2 linked regions of the Stegostoma tigrinum genome follow. The protein of the gene in region 1 interacts with the protein of each later gene in a biochemical or structural test. Links are inferred from orthologs where the notes say so. Each region holds a gene or a part of one and is shown on either strand. Other genes may lie near its edges.

Evidence for each region. The genes of interacting proteins can lie anywhere in the genome.
Region 2: the proteins of parp2 (region 1) and histone PARylation factor 1 form a complex in vitro, tested with the Homo sapiens proteins (2 studies listed by BioGRID). The link is inferred for Stegostoma tigrinum from reciprocal best matches to the Homo sapiens genes PARP2 and HPF1.

The regions. Positions count from the first base shown.
Region 1 is NW_026728242.1:133,681-141,139, reverse strand, and holds the start of parp2 (poly [ADP-ribose] polymerase 2), read right to left. Parts: upstream 3,147-7,459; coding exon 3,127-3,146; intron 2,530-3,126; coding exon 2,356-2,529; intron 810-2,355; coding exon 673-809; intron 1-672. UniProt on the Homo sapiens protein: Poly-ADP-ribosyltransferase that mediates poly-ADP-ribosylation of proteins and plays a key role in DNA repair.
Region 2 is NC_081356.1:127,097,554-127,104,713, forward strand, and holds the start of histone PARylation factor 1, read left to right. Parts: upstream 1-4,053; 5' UTR 4,054-4,507; coding exon 4,508-4,552; intron 4,553-5,656; coding exon 5,657-5,822; intron 5,823-7,160. UniProt on the Homo sapiens protein: Cofactor for serine ADP-ribosylation that confers serine specificity on PARP1 and PARP2 and plays a key role in DNA damage response.

The DNA of each region.
Region 1 (7,459 bases):
AGGCCATTCAGCCCCTCCTCGACCCTGTTACAGAGGAACAGGACATTCAGCCCCATCTCAAGCCTGTTACAGAGGAACAGGCCATTCAGCCCCTCCTTGAGCCTGTTACAGAGCAACAGCAGGAGGCCATTCAGACCCCTCTTGGAGTCTGTTACACAGAATCAGGTTGAGGCCACTCAGCCACCTCCTGGACCCAGTTACAGAGGAACGGCAGGGGACCATTCAGTCCCTTGAGCCTGTCTGACTATTCATTGAGATTCTAGCTGCCATGATTCACAATTCCCAACCATTGCATCACTAGTCTGTGTACAGTTGCCAGAAAACATCCATCAATGCCACTGGTAACATTTATAGCTAGCCCACCCTAAACTTCAACAGCACTTAGTGCGAGAGATCCCAGGTCTGCTACTTGGGAAAGGAGCCCATCTTGACATCCCTTTCAAATTGCCTCCTCCTTGAAATGGAAAGTAAAGCTCCCTCTGCTCTTTTAAACAGGAAGTAAATCTCCCTCTTCTTCTCAACAGAAGGTAAAGCTCCCTCTACTCTTTTAAGCAGGAAGTGAAGTTCCTCTATTCCAATAAACTGAAAGTAAAGCTCTCTCTACTCCAATGAGCTGAAAGTAAAGCTCTCTCTACTCTTTGCCCGTCAAACATTGCCAGGACAGGATCATACAGTCTTCCTTCTCTTTCACAGCATAGCGCACACTCCTCTCGAAGCCTGTCTGGCTGTTCTCCTGGGCCATTTTCTTCAAATCCACTCGCAGGGTGATCTTCGAAGGAAGAGACAGCTGAACGGAGGTATTCCCGGACCTGGGGGGGGGGGGGGGGGGGGGGGGGGGAAGAGGGCAAGATAAGGTGCAGTGTTAGGTCAATGCGACGGACTTGGAAAGGCTCGAGTTTGTGTTCCCTGGTCCGAAAGTCCAACCCTGCCCCCTCGTTCTTCACTTAACACACTCCTTCAAATCTCCAACAGGACAGCGTTCTAGAGCCAACCACCTTCGGCTGCTTCATCAATGACCGCACCCACCCCCACAGGCAGCAGAATCGGGGATGTTCACCGATGACTGCACAGTGTACAGCACCATTCGTGACTCCTCAGGTCCTGAAGCAGTCCGCGTTCAAATGCAACAAGATCTGGACAATATCCAGGCTTGGGCTGGCAAGTGGCAGGTAACACTGATGCCACACAAATGCCAGGCAGTGACCATCTCTAGTAAGGGAAAATCTAACCGTTGTCCCCACTATCCTGGGGATTATCATTCACCAGAACCTGAACTTGGACCGGCCCCACATAAACACAAGGGGCTACAAGAGTAGGTCAGAGGCTGGGAATCCTGTAGCGAGTCACTCACCTCCTGACTCTTCCCTCTTCCACAGGCACACACACAGGCACACACCCCACCCCTGTCTGATGGGATATTCCCCACTTGCACTGGGTGCAGGCAGCTCCGACATCATTCGAGAAGTCGACACCACCCAGGGACAAACCAGCCAACCGCTCAATTGGCATGGCATCCACAAACACCAACACTCAGTCGCAGCAGTGTGTACCATCTACAAGATGCGCTGCAGAAACCCACTGAGGCTCCGTAATTCAGTACCTTCCAAAACCCCACACCCTCCACCATCAATATGGACAAGGGGCAGCAGATACATAGGAACACCAGCCCCCTGCAAGCTCTCCATCCCAACCTGGAAATATATTACCATCATTGGGCCTGGAACTCCCTCCCTATCAGCAGTCTAGGTGGGCGCACCATGCACTGGTCCAGGGAGACAGGCAACAGATCCTGGGTCTAGCCAGTGAAACCAACATTCCTGGAAAAACTTAAAACACGCAACTTCACAGTCACACAATCAGTTAAATAAGATCGCGAGAGAAGACGGCAGACCTAGCGAGAGGGGCACCATGTAAGACCGAGAGAGAGCGAGAGAGAGCGAGAGGGAGGGTGTGTGTGGAAGCGGACAGACTGCAAGACAGAGATAGACAGGTGGGGTATGTGGAGGGGGACAGACTGACAGAGAGAGAGATAGAGAAAGGGGAAGAGAGAGAGAGACAGAGAGGGAGGGAGCCAGTGAGAGAGAAGGTGGGAGGTGGAGATGTTTTGGGTCATTCCTCTGCTATGGGCACGGGTACCTGAAGCTGCAGAAATTTCAATCATAGGGAAGGAACTTGAGAGTCGGGAATCAGAAGCAAGCAGGGATATGAAGGTTTTGGGACGGAAGAAGATCACAGAGTTGGGGGAAGGTAAAACTAGGCTGGGAGGCGGACAGACAGGTGGGATCAGAGACGATGGAAGGATTTGAGTTTTGAACTCGAGGCGCCTTTGGCAGAACACTGCTTTTTGACACTTACCGCAAAGCCTCTGAAAGCTCCCGCTCATGCTCGGCCGAGTAAACATTCCAGGATCCGTCATCCGCTTCCCATTCCCAACGGCCAGCTAACTCATTGAGACCCACCTCCTCTTCATCATTGTCTGCCGTCGCTCTCTTGCGGCCTGCAGGGAGAACACCAGTCCCACTACCATAACTCTCACACACCACCGAGGTAAAACTTATCAATATCCAGGCTTGGGGTGACAAGTGCCTCGTAACATTTGCGCCACACAAATGCCAGGCTGTGACCATCCCCAAATCAAAGAAAATCTAACCACCCCCCTCCCTTGACATTCAATGGCGTTGCCATCACTGAAACCCGCCCCCCCCCCCACAATCAACATCCTCATAACATAAATACAGTCGCGACAAGAATAGGTCACAGGATCAAAATACTGTGGCCAGCAACTCCCCTCCTGACTCCACCAAAACCTGTCCCACCATCAACACACAGTCAGGAGTGTGATGGGATACACCCCACTTGCCCGTGGATGGGGGCAGCTCTGACAACACTCGACAGGCTCCACACTGTCCAGGGTCAAAGCGGCTCCCCACTTGATTGGCACTACATCTACAAACACCCGCTCCCCCACCCACCGATGCTCAACCGCAGCAGTGTGTAATCTACAAGACGCCCTGCAGAGACTCACAAAGGGTCCTCAGGCAGCACCTTCTACATCCCACGGCCACTTCCATCTGGAAGGATAAGGGGGCAGCAGATACATGGGAACACCAGCCCCCTGCGAGTTACCCCTCTGAGCCGCTCGTCATTCCGACTTGGAAATATATCGGCCGTTCCTTCAGTGTGGCCAGGTCAGGATCCCTGGAATTCCCTCCCTGAGGGGGACGCTGTGGGTCTACCCCACAGGACATGGGACTGCAGCAGTTCAAGGGGGCAGCTCACCGCCACTTTCTTAAGCACAACTATGACAGGCAATTAATGAATTTCAAAAAAATCCCTGTGAGGCACAGAATTGTAGAACGAGACGGCACAGAATGCCATTCAGCCCGTAGCACCGAGATCTGCTTTTTGTCATGTTTTGAAAGAAAAATCATCGACTCGTCCCAGCCCAGAGGAGCAGCGGGCATGACGCACACTTCAGGAAGAACAGGTTTTCTTCTGTTCCACTTTGTTATTGTCACATGCACCAAGATACAGTGAAATGTATAATCCGCATGCGATGCAGATAGATCATATCTTAGTTAAGTACATCAGGATAGTAAAACAGAATGCCCAATATAGTGTTCCAGCAGCAGAGAGGGTGCAGAGAGAGAACAACTCGAATATATGAGGGATCTACTCGTAGGTCTGATAACAGCAGGGAAGAAGCTGTTCTTGAATCTGTTGATATGTGTTTTCAAACTTCTGTATCTTCTGCCCGATGAAAAGAGGGTGAAGAGAGTGCAACTGAGGTGGGAGGGGTCTTTGATTATGTTAGCTGTTTTCCCGAAGCAGCAGGAAGTACAGGTGGAGTCTGTACAGCGCGGAAACAGACTCTTCGGCCCAACCAGTCCATGCTAAATCTCAAACTAGCCCCACCTGCCTGCTCCTGGCCTGTATCCCTCTAAACCTTTCCTATTCATGTACTTATCCGAATGCGTTTTAAACATTGTGACTGTACACACATCCATCACTTCCACTGGAAGCTCATTCCACACTCGGGCCACCCTCTGTATTTAAAACAAAAACCTTCACCTTTTTTTTAAATCTTTCTCCTCTCACCTTAAAAATGTGCTCTGGTCTTTAAATTCCACACTCTTAAAAGACACCTGCCATTCAACCTATCTACATCTCTCACAATTTCATAAATGTCTGTAAATTCACCCCACAACCTCCAGTGTTCCAGCTTATCCTTATAACTCAAACCGTCCATTTCAAGCAACATCCTGGTAAATCTCTTCTGAACCCTCCCCAGCTTCAACGACACCCTTCCTGTAAGAGGACAACCAGATTTGGACACAGTTCTCCAGGGACAAAAGCAGAAATTGCTTGGAAAGCTCAGCATTCTGATCTGAGGAAGGGTTGCCCCAGACCAGAAACAACAACTGATTCCTCTTCACAGGCACTGCCAGGCCTGCTGAGCTTTTCCAAAAGCTTCTGTTTTTATTTCTGGTTGACAGCATCTGCCGTTCTTTCGGGTTTTATATGGTACTCCAGACGGGGCCTAACCAACATCTTGTACAACCTCAAATTGTGTCAATGGATGGGAGGCTGGTTTGTATGATGGGCTGGGCTGTGTTCGCAACTCTCTGTAATTTCTTGCCTCAGAAACAAGGCTGAGTCTTTTTTTTCTGACTGTGCAGAAACTGGGAGCGGCACAACCTGGCGGCGGTGGGGGGGTCACAGGATTTGACCATGCAAGGAGGGGGAAGACACGCTTCATCCACACCAACGGAGCAGAGTGTCATGTTCCGAGGAGTGACAATAACCGAGAACCTGTCCCGGGGTTCCCACTCGGATGCAACGGTCAAGAAGGCTCAACAGTACCTCTTCTTCCTCAGGCGGCTCAGGAAATTCCGGGTTTTCCGTAAGGACCCTCACCAACTTTTACTGATGTACCACAGAAAGCATACCGTTCCGGGTGAACAACGGCCTGGTACGGTGACAGCTCTCCCCCAGGACCGTAAGAAACTGCAGAAGGCGGTGTGTACAGCCCAGACCATCACAGAAGCCGACCTTCCACCCATGGACTCCAGTTACTTGTCTCGTTGTTGTGGAAAGGCTGCCCATATCATCGAAGACCCCTCCAAACCTGGTAATGATCCCCTACAACCTCGTCCATCAGGCACAAGACACAGAAGCCTGAACACACGCACCATCAGGTTCAGGAACAGTTTCTTCGCTGCTGTTATTAGACTAATGAATAGACTCCCGAACTTCAAATAATGCTCATCTTGCTCGCGTTGATCTTGCTTCGCACCCCTCCTGCGCAGCGTAACCTAGATGCCTAGTTCTGTCTAAGCACCCGATAATCTGCATGAGACATAGCAAGAACTGCAGATGCTGGAGTCAGAGCTAGCACACAGCGTGGGCATGGAGGAACACAGCAGGCCAAGCAGCATCAGAGGAGCAGGAAAGCTGATGTTTCAGGTCGGGGCTAAACAGTTCTGAAGAAGGGTTCTAAACCGAAACGTCAGCTTCCCTGCTCCTTTGATGCTGCCTAATCTGCTGTGTTCCTCCAGATCCACACTGTGTTATCTATGATCTGTATGTCCTTATTTGCTATGATCTGCCTGTACTCTACACAAACACAGATTTTCACTGTACTTAGGTACACATGACAACAATAAATCAAATCAAAATCACAAATTGGGTTAGGTATGACACTGGGGGCTGACTGTGAACAAATTGGGTTGGGAACAACACCAGGGGCCTGACTGTGAACCAACTGGGACATCTACAACACCAGGGGGGGGTCTGACTGTGAACCAATTGGGATAACTACAACATCAGGGGGGGGGGGTCTGACTGTGAACCAATTGGGATAAGTACAACATCAGGGGGGGGGTCTGACTGTGAACCAATTGGGATAAGTACAACATCAGGGGGTCTGACTGTGAACCAATTGGGATAAGTACAACATCAGGGGGGGGTCTGACTGTGAACCAATTGGGATAACTACAACATCAGGGGGTCTGACTGTGAACCAATTGGGATAAGTACAACATCAGGGGGTCTGACTGTGAACCAATTGGGATAACCACAACATCAGGGGGGGTCTGACTGTGAACCAATTGGGATAACTACAACATCAGGGGGGGGGTCTGACTGTGAACCAATTGGGATAACTACAACATCAGGGGGGGGTCTGACTGTGAACCAATTGGGATAACTACAACATCGGGGGGGGGGGTCTGACTGTGAACCAATTGGGATAACTACAACATCAGGGGGTCTGACTGTGAACCAATTGGGATAAGTACAACATCAGGGGGTCTGACTGTGAACCAATTGGGATAAGTACAACACCGGGGGGGGTCTGACTGTGAACCAATTGGGATAACTACAACATCAGGGGGGGTCTGACTGTGAACCAATTGGGATAACTACAACATCAGGGGGGGTCTGACTGTGAACCAATTGGGATAACTACAACATCAGGGGGGTCTGACTGTGAACCAATTGGGATAACTACAACATCAGGGGGTCTGACTGTGAACCAATTGGGATAACTACAACATCAGGGGGGGTCTGACTGTGAACCAATTGGGATAACTACAACATCGGGGGGGGGTCTGACTGTGAACCAATTGGGATAACTACAACATCAGGGGGGGGGTCTGACTGTGAACCAATTGGGATAACTACAACATCAGGGGGGGGTCTGACTGTGAACCAATTGGGATAACTACAACATCAGGGGGGGTCTGACTGTGAACCAATTGGGATAACTACAACATCGGGGGGGGGTCTGACTGTGAACCAATTGGGATAACTACAACATCAGGGGGGGGGTCTGACTGTGAACCAATTGGGATAACTACAACATCAGGGGGGGGGTCTGACTGTGAACCAATTGGGATAAGTACAACATCAGGGGGTCTGACTGTGAACCAATTGGGATAACTACAACATCAGGGGGGGTCTGACTGTGAACCAATTGGGATAACTACAACATCGGGGGGGGTCTGACTGTGAACCAATTGGGATAAGTACAACATCAGGGGGTCTGACTGTGAACCAATTGGGATAACTACAACATCAGGGGGGGTCTGACTGTGAACCAATTGGGATAACTACAACATCAGGGGGGGGGTCTGACTGTGAACCAATTGGGATAAGTACAACATCAGGGGGGGGGTCTGACTGTGAACCAATTGGGATAAGTACAACATCAGGGGGTCTGACTGTGAACCAATTGGGATAACTACAACATCAGGGGGTCTGACTGTGAACCAATTGGGATAACTACAACATCAGGGGGTCTGACTGTGAACCAATTGGGATAACTACAACATCAGGGGGGGGTCTGACTGTGAACCAATTGGGATAACTACAACATCAGGGGGGGGTCTGACTGTGAACCAATTGGGATAACTACAACATCAGGGGGTCTGACTGTGAACCAATTGGGATAAGTACA
Region 2 (7,160 bases), on another chromosome or scaffold:
GTTGAAATCCAAGCTGAAGTTGGGAGTCTCAGTCCACACTTTGAAAGTGGCTAAAATGCACTAAATATAGCGAAAGGTCCTAGGAAAGTGCAATTCTTTTGTAGGACATGATGAACACCAGCAAAGGCACCTCCCCTGCCAATCCCTGGGCCCTATCCGAGAAGGAAAAAGAGATAATCTCACAACTGCAAAGGTCTGAGAGAGGTTCCCGTCAACGTCCTCACAAGGTTTCTCACACTCACTCCGTCAGTGCAGCTTGTCGGTCTTTGTTAAAACAGACCACTGGATCTTTAACCCGACCTCCTGTGGGAAGATCCACACAGGATTAGCTGGGCACCCTTCAGGATGTGTGCCAGAAGATGGTGGGTACCCTTCTTCAGGAGAAAGCACCATTCTCTCGTCAACAGGACATAGAGCAAAACGAGTCACAGTGACGCTAGATTTCCCCAGGAGATACCACGGTGATAAAGAGCTGCTCAATTCCAAAAGCAAATGTTTCACTGCTGATCCATTTTTTGTTTTTTGGTTATTGGGATGTGGGTGTCACTTATTGGGCCAGTATTTATTACCCATCCCTAATTACCACAGGGCATTAAGAATCAAGCACATTTCTGTGGGCCTGGAATCATGTGAAGCTGAGACCAGGAAAAGACAACAATTTCCTCCTCTGAAGGGCAGGGGTGAATCAGAGGGGTTTTAACTACCATTGACAATGATGTCACAGGACCCAGGAAGCCTGGGTTCAAATCCCACCTGCTCCAGAGGTGTGTAATACATCTATGAGCTAGAGGACTTCGGTGAACCGGGAAAGATTCAAAAGGGACTTGAGGGGCAACGTTTTCATGCAGAGCGTGGTGTGTGTATAGAATGAGCTGCCAGAGGAGGTGATGGAGGCTGGTCCATTTACAGCATTTAAACAGCATCGATGGGATCTGAATAGGAAGAGTTTAGCGGATTATGAGCCAAATGCTGGCAAATGGGACTAAATTAGTTTAGAATATCCTGTTGGCATGGATGTGTTGGACAGAAGAGTCTGTCTGCATGCTGTGCATCTCTGTACAGGTTGATTAGAAAGACATCCTTTATTTAGAGATTTTCATTGAATTCGAAAATTCATCATCAGCCATTGGTGGGATTCAAATCCATGTGGCCTAGAATGTTGGTTTTGGGTTCTAGATTTCTCTTCCAGTGACATTCATAGATGTTTGATTACTCTAGGTCAGGTCAGCACAAGGAGGGGGAATGTGTTGGGTATTCTAAAAGGCATTAGGGTGGACGAGTCCCCAGGTCCAGATGGGATCTATCCCAAGTTACTGAGGGAAGCGGGAGAGAATATAGTTGGATATCTTTGCATCCTTGAGCACAGGTGAGGTCCCGGAGGACTGGAGAATTGCTAATGTTGTCCCCTTGTTTAAGAAGGGTAGCAAGGATAATCCAGGCAATTGTAGACCGGTGAGCCTAACGTCAGTGGTGGGGAAACTGCTGGAGAAGATACTGAGGGATAGAATCTATTCCCATTTGGAAGAAAATGGGCTTATTAGTGGTAGGCAGCATGGTTATGTGCAGGGAAGGTCATGTCTTACCAACTTGATAGAATTCTTTGAGGAAGTGACAAAGTTGATAGATATGTGAAGGGCTTCATTAAGGCATTTGATAAGGTTCCCCGTGGTAGGCTGATGGAGAAAGTGAAGTCGCATGGGGTCCATGCTGTACTAGCTAGATGGATAGAGAACTGACTGGGCAACAGGAGACAGAGAAGTTTCTCAAAATGGAGAACTGTGTCCAGTGGTGTTCCACAGGGATCCATGTTGGGACCAACATTGTGTGTGATATACGTAAATGATCTGGAGAAAGGTATAGTTAGTCTGATTAGCAAGTTTGCAGATGACACTAAGATTGGTGGAGTAGCAGGTAGTGAAGGGGACTGTTGGAGAATGCAGCAAAATATAATCAGATTGGAGAGTTGGGCAGAGAAATAGCAGATGGAGTTCAATCCAGGCAAATACGACTCCCCTCTCCACCTATCTTCTTTTCTCTCCATCTTCGGTCCGCCTCCCCCTCTCTCCCTATTTATTCCAGAACCCTCACCCCATCCCCCTCTCTGATGAAGGGTCTAGGCCTGAAACGTCAGCTTTTGTGCTCCTGAGATGCTGCTGGGCCTGCTGTGTTCATCCAGCCTCACATTTTATTATCTTAAATACGAGGTGATGCATTTTGGAAGATCCAATTCAAGAGCAAACGATACAGTAAATGGAAAAGCCCTGGGGAAAATTGACGGGCAAAGAGATCTGGGTGTTCAGGTCCATTGTTCCCTGAAGGTGGCAATGCAGGTCAATAGGGCATACAGCATGCTTACATTCATCAGACAGGATATTGAGTACAAGAGTTGGCAGGTCATGTTACAGTTGTATAGGACTTTGGGTCAGCCACATTTGGAATACTGCATACAGTTCTGGTCGCCACATTACCATAAGGATGTGGATGCTTTGGAGAGGGTGCAGAGGAGGTTCACCAAGATGTTGCCTGGTATGGACGGCGCTAGCTATAAAGAAAGGTTGAGTAAATTAGGATTATTTTCATTAGAAAGTCAGAGATTGAGGGGGGACCTGATTGAGGTCTACAAAATCATGAGGGGTATAGACAGGGTGGATGGCAAGAAGCTTTTTCCCAGAGTGGGGGACTCAATTACTAGGGGTCATGAGTTCAAAGTGAGAGGAGGGAAGTTTAAGGGAGATATGCGTGGGAAGTTCTTTACTCAGAGGGTGGTGGGTGCCTGGAACACGTTGCCAGCAGAGGTGGTAGATGGAGACACAATACTGTAATTAGATTAGATTCCCTACAGTGTGGAAACAGGCCCTTCGGCCCAACAAGTCCACACCGCCCCTTGGAGCATCCCACCCAGACCCATCCTCCTATAACACACACACCCATGAACACTACGGGCAATTTAGCATGGCCGATTCACCTAGCCTGCACATCTTTGGACTGTGGGAGGAAACCGGAGCACCCGGAGAAAACCCACGCAGACACAGGAAGAATGTGCAAACTCCACACAGACAGTTAACCGAGGCTGGAATCGAACCCGGTTCCCTGGCGCTGTGAGACTGCAGAGCCAACCACTGAGCCACAGTGCCGCCCAACATCTTTTAGGATGTATCTGGACAGGTACATGGATGGGCAGGGAGCAAAGGGATACAGATCCTTGGAAAATAGGCAACAGGTTTACACGGAAGATCTGGATCGGTGTAGGTTTGAAGGGCCTGTTCCTGTGCTGTAATTTTCTTTGTTCTTTCATTCCCACTACACCAGCAGCTCCCCAGGCAAGAATGGAACTTCATTCCCAGTTTGTCTGTGGCTCATACCAAATCTGAGACAGGAAGATGCCTCAGTAAACGGCAGAGGGGAGCTGACTGCGTCCCTCAGGCGGAGTCGATCAGTTGACTGACTGTGCCCCTGTGGCAGAGGAGAGGAGCTGACTGTGTCCCTCTGGCGGAGGCGGAGATCTGCACCTCCCAGTCGCAAACCATTTCCACTCCCCCTCCCATTCTTTAGATGACATGTCCATCATGGGCCTCCTGCAGTGCCACAATGATGCCACCTGAAGGTTGCAGGAACAGCAGCTCATATTCCGCTTGGGAACTCTACAGCCCAATGGTATCAATGTGGACTTCACCAGTTTCAAAATCTCCCCTTCCCCTACTGCATCCCAAAACCAGCCCAGTTCGTCCCCTCCCCCCACTGCACCACACAACCAGCCCAGCTCTTCCCCTCCACCCACTGCATCCCAAAACCAGTCCAACCTGTCTCTGCCTCCCTAACCTGTTCTTCCTCTCACCCATCCCTTCCTCCCACCCCAAGCCGCACCTCCATCTCCTACCTACTAACCTCATCCCACCTCCTTGACCTGTCCATCTTTCCTGGACTGACCTATCCCCTCCCTACCTCCCCACCTATACTCTCCTCTCCACCTATCTTCTTTACTCTCCATCTTCGGTCCGCCTCCCCCTCTCTCCCTATTTATTCCAGTTCCCTCTCCCCATCCCCCTCTCTGATGAAGGGTCTAGGCCCGAAACGTCAGCTTTTGTGCTCCTGAGATGCTGCTGGGCCTGCTGTGTTCATCCAGCCTCACATTTTATTAACTGACTATGTCCCTCTGGTGGAGGTGGCTGATTGACTGACTTTGTCCCTCTGGTGGAGGGGGGAGCTGACTGTGTCCCTGTCACGGAGGACGGCAGCTGAATGTTTCCCTCTGGCGGAGGCGGTCAGTTGTCTGACTGTGTACCTAGGCGGAGGAGAGGAGCTGACTGTGGCCCTGTGTCGGAGGCGGGGAATTGATTGACTGTGTCCCTCTGGCGGAGGCAGGCCGTTGACTGACTGCGGCCCTGTGGCGGAGGCGGAGAGGTGACCGTGTCCCAGTGGCGGAGGCGGGGAGCTGACTGGTTTGGGGGTGTGTTCAGTGTGTCTCCGTCTTTATTCTGCCGCCCGGGTAAAGTCGCGTTTGCTGAATATGGCGGGACGCGGGAAGAGGAAGGCTGCATTCAGAAGCTCCGAGGTAAATGGATGAGGATAGTCTGGTGAATACGGGATTGTTTTCAGCGTGATACACTGTAGCTCCGGAAGTAACAATGTGTCCCAGGGATTAAAGAGCAGCAACATTGTTTCACTAAATGTTACTAACAATGTCTTTACTAAAGTGTTAGTAAGTCTCTCATTGCAAAGATATTAGATGCGACAATGGAGCAGATTCTTTGCTCCAGTGCTGTTTTGGATTAAGTGAGGCATTGACCCCATAAGCCTTACCTGCACCATTTATTTTCAGATAAATGTGTGATATTTTTGACAAAAGGAAAGGTATTGAGTGTCTCGCCTATATCAGAGGGAAGGGTGGAACAAGACTTCTGTCAACTAAAATGACGACAAAGAACTGCGGGAGTTGGAAACAAACAAAACCAGCCTCAACACAGCTGGTCTGGCAGCATCTGTGGAGAGAGAGAAAACAAGAGTTAACGTTTTGAGTCACTTCTGTCAATTGTATGTTTCTGTGAAAGGCCACGTGTTTTTTCAGTATTTTTTTACAAAATATGTGCAGAAACCTCCACTACCCAGGATACAGGGAGTAGACTTATGGGGAACTATTAAAAACAGCAAATTCCCCTCCAAATCACCAGCAACAAAGGTGAAAACGTTATACAGTGTCTCTTTTGTTCATTTGTTATTCAGCACAATGTGGGCACCACTGACAGGAACAGCATTTGTTGACCATTCCTAATTGCCCTTGAACTGAGTGACCTACTAGACCATCTCAAAAGGCAGGGTTAGAAAATAAAAGAATGAGAGGTGACCTTATTGAAACATTCAAGATTCTCAGGGACTTGGCAGTATAAGCGCAGAAAGATTGTTCTCCCATATGAGAGAGGCTTGGGCCAGAGGGCATCTGTAAGTGATCCCACTTATTGACTGTAGTTTTGCCTTTGATGCCACAATTCCAAACAAACTAATCCCCAAACTCTTAGAGAACTAGGTCTCTGCTTCCCCCCTCTGTAACTGACTCCATCTACACTTCCTGCTGCCTCGGGAGCTGTTTTAGTGTTTTGGGAATGTTGCAGTGTTTACTGTTTGAATTATTTCAGTTTTCTTTGTGATTCATTTACCTCAGTCTAAGAACCCGGTAGCTGAAGATGGTAAGAAGAACCGAGGAGAGAATTCCAGCATTCCTGAGGAACTGCGACAAGAAGTTCGGGATCTCTACAAGCTACAGATGCCAGAAGATTTTTATCACTTCTGGGAATTCTGTGAGAAGCAAGATCCAGAGAATCCATGCGGTACGCAACCCCTGACCCCGTCTCGATTAGTGTTCTCAATGCAGAAACCAGTCAGGCATCTGTGGCTAGATGAGTGGGAGAGGTTTAGGGAGAGAAGATCTCCTGAAGATCCCCCTTCCCACTTGCTCCAGTACTTGTACCCTTAAAAACCATCAGCCCAGTCCTAATTCATGAAGTTCCTTATGGCCTGGTTTGGTTGAGAAGAGAAGTAGTTATCTGTGGTACACATGGAGTCAGAGGTTAGCCATGTGGATACCGGCCCTACAGCCCATCTTGCCCATGCCACACAGTTTCCACAATTAATCTAGTCCCATTTGCCTGCATTTGGTCCATATCCCTCCATACTTATCCCATCCATGTACCTGCCCTCTGGACTCTTTTGTTTTTAGTCTCTCCCCTCTGACCTTAAACTGTGGAGGCCATTCTACCCCTGATGTCTGTGCTGGATCTTTGGAAAAGTGATTTTGCTTATTCCCATACCCCAACCTTGACCCTGTAGGTTCCTCATCCTCCAGCATCTGTCCATCTTCCTTCAAAGATCGTGAAGTAGCAGAATTCTATCTCTGCAGAAGCTGCCAGACCTGCAGAGCTTTTCCAGCAATTTCTATTTTAGAACATAGAACATAGAACAGTACAGCACAGAACAGGCCCTTCAGCCCACAATGTTGTGCCGACCATTGATCCTCATGTATGCACCCTCAAATTTCTGTGACCATATACATGTCCAGCAGTCTCTTAAATGACCCCAATGACCTTGCTTCCACAACTGCTGCTGGCAACGCATTCCATGCTCTCACAACTCTCTGCGTAAAGAACCTGCCTCTGACATCCCCTCTATACTTTCCACCAACCAGCTTAAAACTATGACCCCTCGTGCTAGCCATTTCTGCCCTGGGAAATAGTCTCTGGCTATCAACTCTATCTATGCCTCTCATTATCTTGTATACCTCAATTAGGTCCCCTCTCCTCCTCCTTTTCTCCAATGAAGAGAGACCGAGCTCAGTCAACCTCTCTTCATAAGATAAGCCCTCCAGTCCAGGCAGCATCCTGGTAAACCTCCTCTGAACCCTCTCCAAAGCATCCACATCTTTCCTATAATAGGGCGCCCAGAACTGGACGCAGTATTCCAAGTGCGGTCTAACCAAAGTTTTATAGAGCTGCAACAAGATCTCACGACTCTTAAACTCAATCCCCCTGTTAATGAAAGCCAAAACACCATATGCTTTCTTAACAACCCTGTCCACTTGGGTGGCCATTTTAAGGGATCTATGTATCTGCACACCAAGATCCCTCTGTTCCTCCACGCTGCCAAGAATCCTATCCTTAATCCTGTACTCA